2 linked regions of the Saccharomyces cerevisiae S288C genome follow. The protein of the gene in region 2 interacts with the protein of the main gene of each other region in a biochemical or structural test. Each region holds a gene or a part of one and is shown on either strand. Other genes may lie near its edges.

Region 1 (2,941 bases), on a different chromosome or scaffold from region 2:
CGTCAAAGAACAGCACTATATCTTATGGGAAGTTTTAAATATTCTTGCTATCAATAAAAACATTGAACAATGGCGACAGCTAATAAGAGATGAAATTTATTTAAGTATCTATAATACCAGTGGTAATGCAATAAAGGAATACGAGTTAAAGTACAAACTACCTACCAATGACAAAGTCAATTTGGAGTTACGGAAAAATAATATTACATTGGATTTTTATAAGATAATACTAAACTTATTGTCTAATCTAATTAATATTAAAGGTAAAAGGGACAAATATAACTCAGAGCTAGCTTACGAAATAATTTCAGTAGGTTCCGGTGTTACTGAACTCCTTAAGCTATGGAACCGAGCCAAAGTCACTTCGGCTAATGAACATACAAGCGCTGTTTGACAACAGATGACCAAGTTCGTTGCATCCCTCTTTATTTCGTTTTTTTAGTTTGATATTATAGTACTTGTATATATACATTTTTTCTTCTTTACGTCTAAAGATTTAGTTATACCCACTCCGCTTCCACTTGAGCTTTTTGGAATGTGTAGTCATTTCTATTGATGGTCACCACACCATCTTTCAGACTACATTTCCATCTCGCCTTTGTTCTTGTGACTTTATCATATAAGCACAGCATTAAGTTCTCATCTGGCCCATCCTCTTCACCCTCCGAAATTAGATAGTCATCGTCGGAATCATCTAGTTCTGAACCGACCTCATCCGTATCTAATAATGCACTTCTTTTTTCCTTCTTCGCTTGTAATTTTACTTGTTCTATCTGCTCCTTTTCCTTGCGGGTTTTTTCCACGTCCTCCTCCTTTTCCTCGTCGTCTTTCTTCTCACTTTCATCATCTATGTTTTCGACGGTAGTTATATTGGCATTATTAATAGTAAGTTCTATTTCCGGTTTTACTTCAATTTTAGGCTGGCTAGTTACGTCCGCATTTGTATTACCACTAGTATTTGTGTTCAAGGTAGCACCTGAATTATTAGTTGCTTCTACCGTATTCGTATTAATATTGGTCTCTCCAGAGTGCGGTATGTTGTTGTTGGAATTGATATTTGGCAAAATTAGACCTTCATTACCGGTATTCTCCTCCTTAATATTGAACTCGCTAGAATTTACGCCGGGGGTAGCAAGATTGAAATTTAAGTCGTTCTGTACACCATTGATATTTCCTTCATTGAACTGATTGTCCCATGAAAAAGTAGTTACCTTCGTCTCTGTGAGCTTTTTTTGCCAAATATTTTTTAGGTCTTGTAAAGTTTGTTCATCGATACCCGCATTTTCAAAGTCCTCTCTTACTTCATTTACCACAGACTCTACGATAATCTCGTACACTCTGCTGGCCTCTGCATTCGACATGATATCCAACGATGTCCCTTGTGTATGGCCTTGATTTGTGTGATACTATCGCTTTTCTTCTTTGAGCTTGCCCCCGATAATATGCCGTATGGCTTTATCCACCTTGTTATTTGGCTTCTTCATCTTTTCTTCAACTGTCTCACATCATACTTGACGAAGCTTTTTTTCGCGTTAATTTATATTCTTTATTTATTTATTTATAATTCAGAGTGTACGATGAGTTCCTCTTTAATGGTTCATTTGAAGGACACTAACTAAAAAGAGCATCATTGGTGTCAAGGGGCACCCAGTTAAAAAAGGTTTTGAGCACATATCGTAATTCATGAACGAAGTTCCTACCACTCCAGTTAGGCTTATTTTAGGGCAAGCTCAGCAACGCGAGCAGAATTCAGAAAACTGTTCGCAAGAACGTAACCCACGCACGTTTAATTCCGAACCGGATTCCAGCTTTAACTCTCCTGGTTCCTCCCAGTTCGTGATACATCCTCATGAACCGCTCGAGAAGGAGAAAGATGAGAAGCAGGATTTAGACCGCTCGATTGATTACGGTAGGTCATCAGCTCTTAACAACAAGAATAATGCCAATCCATTAGAGAATATAGACATAAATAAAATGTTTGATGACAAAAAATCAGATTCAGGTACCAATGATGATAAAGGAGGCGCAAGTACTAGTGATAAGCATGTCCTTGCATTGAATTATTCACCGATCAGAGTTGAAATGAACTCCTCAGAGAAACGAAGCGACAAAAACGTGGACGTAGATGAAAATGATAAAGAAGGTAGCCATATTAATAAAAAATTGAAATTGCAGTTAGAATCAGTACCTGATTTGAAACAAAGCTCTACTAAAGATATCATTAATGACAAAGAAGAAATTATGTCGTCTCCAATGGCGATTGATATGATTGAGACCAACATAAGCCCAAATAAATTCATAATAAACGACGGAGTTGAAAGAAACGATAGTTTCAATATCAATACCGACACACTTAAATTAGAAAATGATATAAATGAGAAACAACAAGAGGAAGACTTCATAAAATCTAACAGTAACAATGTGGTTAATATTGACAATGCTTATAAGGAAAAGGAGGACGAAGAAAATGATATAACAAATTCTCATATAAACAGGCTTACTCCTTTGTATGAGACTTCTGCAAGGGAGTCGAACTCAAATGAAGAGGGGAGGAATGACTACGATGATGACAACCAACTTGATATTAGACATGACAATTTTCAGATTGTAGCAAAAAGAAACGAGGAGCTCACTGATCAGATATATCACTTAAATCAAATGTTAAACTCTTTGATTTCCAAAAATGAATCATTGTCTTTTCAATACGAGAAATTGAACAAAAATCACCAACTACTAATAGATTTGACAAATGAAAAGTTAGATAAACTAAATACAGAAAGAGAGAGCGATATTGCCAAGGTGGAAAAATTCAAAAAGAGGATTAAGGAGTTGAATACAGAAATTAAGGTATTGAATTCCAACCAAAAAATATTACAAGAAAAATTCGATGCCTCAATTACTGAAGTAAATCATATAAAGGGCGAACATGAAAATACTGTCA
Region 2 (3,757 bases):
AGTAGTTAACAATTCGTTTTGAGAATTTGAATGCGAGTGTGAGCTAGATGGGAAATGGTAACGATTCGTGTGAGAGCTATGTCGTTGGTGATTAACCTCAAGATTGGGCTTTGATGGAGTGGAGGGATCAGGGACGTTTGAATTAGTATTCGTAGTGGACGAAGAAGGAAGAGATCGCCTTGATCTTGAAGATTTATTTGATTTTGCAGACTTCACAGAATGGGAAGTCTCGGTTCTCGACACTTGAGGACGAGGATTTCTCGAGGAGGAATTCGAATGTGAATCCTTTTTCGAAGATTTTGAACTTGAATTACCCATTTTGAAAAGGAAGGAAAGATAAGCAGAGAGTGGTTGATTTGTTGTTTTATGACAAAGCCTCTAGGGGAAAAGAAGCGACTATAACGATGAAATAAAAATAAAACGATAAAGAAAAGTATAATCAAATGTATTCCAAAGAAGTACTTTTATATATAATCTTTATATTTAACTTGAAAGAAAAAGATTTAACATGTATTGCCAAAACAAACAAAACTAATAATGGAAGCTATTGTATTGTGCTTTTATGTTACCCACCTGCCAATGGTTCACAAGAGAAAGCTGATTAACAGAATTAGAAGATCTGCAGTAATCGTTTTCTTTTTTTTTTTTTCATTAATTTATATGCTATCCTTTTAAAAATAGACATGTCATTTCAAACGACATGTTAAAAATTATATATATGTTTATATATAGATTGATATATGTTGGAGCCGTTGGACAATTATGGGCAGCTATCTGAACATGGATCCCTGCCCTTCTCCTTGAGTTCTCCAGTAAGCGTTAGGCAAAGTGTCCGACTGCAGACGGTAGAGTCTCCACGCCTCACGGATGTGTTCGGGCAATAAGGGACTGTTGTTATATTTCTCGATGCTTACATCTAGTTTGTTGAATTGGAGGACGAGCTTATTGTACTGCTCGATGAGTTGTAGCTTCAAGTCCTGTGAATTATGGTCTGATTGCTGTAAGGATTTGGACTGTAGCAACGAGTTGCCCAGCGTAGTTTCGCGCTTGTCTACTTCTTCATCGTCGAAGTAGAAATCAGGTTCGTCTTCGGGAACGCTATCGGATTGATAATCTTGCTTGTATTGCTGGTTTTCTATGATGGAGAAAGTCAATTTTTTTAGATATTTTTTCAATTTATAGCCTATTTTGGTCCTCTTATCAAACTCTATGCACATTTGACTTGTCAACCACTTATTCTTCACAATCATGGCCAATTCGATTATCTCACCAGCGTATATTTTTCCCACCGCTTGCAGAAAAACACGAATATTTTCACTTATAGTTTGATTAGCTACTGTGCTAGCCAGTTTTTTGACCTGGGTTTTGTTTAGGGATGTTCTATGGAAAACTTCAAACCGATTAGTTTGATCTTTATCCAAGTTGGTTACCAAGAGCTTGAATTGTTCGTCCTGCGCAAGTTTTTCATTTTCATCTTCGTTGGTATTGGTGTCTTCGTAATTGCTATTTTGTGTTTGCTGTTGTAAAATGTCTTGTGGAAAGATCAGGTTTTCTGGGACTTTGTTGATAGAGTCCGGGTCTTGCTGATTTATCCTGGTTTTCTGGTATTTGTATTTTGGATATTTATTTAATTGGTTGTTGATTGATGTACCACCCGTTCGCAGGTTTTGCAATTTCCACGTAACGTAGTCCTGGTCCTCACTGATGACTTGGTCAATCATTTGTTTTGTGGAAAAATAGTTTGCTATTGTCAGTATTGGCGGATAGTTCACTTTCGGGATGGTGTCCAAAGGACCTTGAGGTTCGGTCATCGTTGCGCTGTTGAAGCTCAAACTTACTTTGTGCTCTTCATTTATATGGATAATTATCTCTATATACCTCTTCTTGATTTTTCAATTTCTTTCAACTTTTCAGTCGAAGAAATGGGAATAAGAGAAAAAATTCGGTAATGAACTGAACAGAGATGAGGTCTCGAAGAGCCAAGAAATAAAAGGTTAAGAACCAACATGGAGATAAACCAAGCGGCTGAAAAAGAACAGGAGTATGTTCACAAAGTGTATAATGAGATAGCTCCGCATTTCTCGCAAACTAGATATAAGCCATGGCCCATAGTGACTCAGTTCTTGAAGACTCGCCCAATGGGTTCCATCGGTATCGACGTCGGGTGTGGCAATGGAAAGTACCTCGGAGTGAACCCTGATATATATATTATCGGTTCAGATCGCTCAGATGGTCTTATTGAGTGCGCCAGAGGAATAAACCCATCGTACAACTTACTGGTGGCAGACGGGCTGAACTTACCACACAAAAACGAAACATTTGACTTCGCCATCTCAATTGCTGTAGTGCATCACTGGTCTACAAGGGAGAGACGTGTTGAGGTGATCAGGCACGTTCTATCGAAGCTACGTCAGGGCGGACAAGCATTAATATATTGTTGGGCTCTAGAACAGGGCAGCTCCCGTAGAGGTTACCATGAAGGTATGGAGCAAGATGTCTTTGTCCCCTGGGTTCTTCCCAAGAGTAAATCCAAACCAAAAACTAAATCAACGCCGCCTGCTAAAGTCAAGACAAGGCCAAAGCCAAACTTAATGAATATTCCCCCAAAGGAGCGTTCCGAATACTTGCAGCGCTGGAAGGAGGAACAGCAACGCAGTAAGTCTCTTGATGATAACGACGAGAAGCAACAACAAGATCAAGAACAGGAAAGAGAAGAGGTAAAATACCGATACTATCACTTATACCGAGAGGGCGAATTGGCTGAGGATTGCCGCCAAGCTGGGGCTGCCGTTCATAGTGAGGGCTTCGAGCGCGACAATTGGTGGGTGGTGGCCCAGAAGAGATGAAGGTGATATATAGGTAGACAGTGTATTTTGTAGCAGCAGGTATTACGATAGAAGTATGTAATAGCTTTCATAGTGTAATCGAAGATGCCAGTAGTCAATCATGAGGATAGTGAATTTCACCTTTCGCACACAGAAGAGGACAAGTTAAATGAGTTCCAGGTCATCACGAATTTCCCCCCAGAAGACTTGCCAGATGTGGTGAGACTGTTGAGGAACCATGGTTGGCAGTTAGAACCAGCATTGAGCCGATATTTCGATGGAGAGTGGAAAGGCGAACCAGACCAGATGGGAGAGCCCACTCAAACGTCTACACCCATGGCTGAGACCTTGGTTCCTCCCGCGTTGGGACCTAGACCGTTGTTATTTACAGCCTCACTGCCCGTGGTCAGACCATTGCCAGCGAACTTCCGCAATGATTTCAGAACAATTGGGCTAAATGGACGCTCTAACACTGTGTGGTCCATGTTTGAATCTTTTAGTTATGATGGTAACCCCTTTCTTTTTATTTTACTGTTGATCCCTCGGATAATCAATAGGTTATCTGCCACAATATTCACGTTCTTTTGCACTCTATTGTCCCTGCATTCGATAAGTGGTGGCGGTAATTCAGGAAAACCCAAGATCTCCAAGGTTCCAAAGGCACCAACCAGAGAAACCCATATCCCACTTGCAGAAATACTGGGTGACACGAAGGACAAGGATGCATTTTGCGAACTAAAAAGCTTTAAACCAGACATTTCCTTCAATGAGGCCTTGCGTATTGCAAAAGAAGAGTTTAAGTTTATGTTGCTCATCCTAGTGGGCGACACCTACGATACCGATACTGATACCGTAGATGTTAATTCTAAACTACTATTGGAAAAGATTTTGTTAAACAAGAAGACTTTACAGTACTTGCGCAAGATTGATAA

The links.
Region 1: the proteins of TAF11 (region 2) and TOA1 form a complex in vitro, tested with the Saccharomyces cerevisiae proteins (one study listed by BioGRID).

The regions. Positions count from the first base shown.
Region 1 is NC_001147.6:711,183-714,123, forward strand, and holds TOA1 (transcription initiation factor IIA large subunit), read right to left. Parts: upstream 1,362-2,941; coding exon 501-1,361; downstream 1-500. Other genes in the region: PEX27 (Pex27p), read left to right, coding at 1-394; SLK19 (Slk19p), read left to right, coding at 1,684-2,941. UniProt on the Saccharomyces cerevisiae protein: TFIIA is a component of the transcription machinery of RNA polymerase II and implicated in the regulation of basal transcription. Interacts with TBP (the TATA-binding protein).
Region 2 is NC_001145.3:241,219-244,975, forward strand, and holds TAF11 (TATA-binding protein-associated factor TAF11), read right to left. Parts: upstream 1,812-3,757; coding exon 771-1,811; downstream 1-770. Other genes in the region: PPZ1 (salt homeostasis regulator), read right to left, coding at 1-318; TRM9 (tRNA (carboxymethyluridine(34)-5-O)-methyltransferase), read left to right, coding at 2,007-2,846; UBX2 (Ubx2p), read left to right, coding at 2,931-3,757. UniProt on the Saccharomyces cerevisiae protein: Functions as a component of the DNA-binding general transcription factor complex TFIID. Binding of TFIID to a promoter (with or without TATA element) is the initial step in pre-initiation complex (PIC) formation.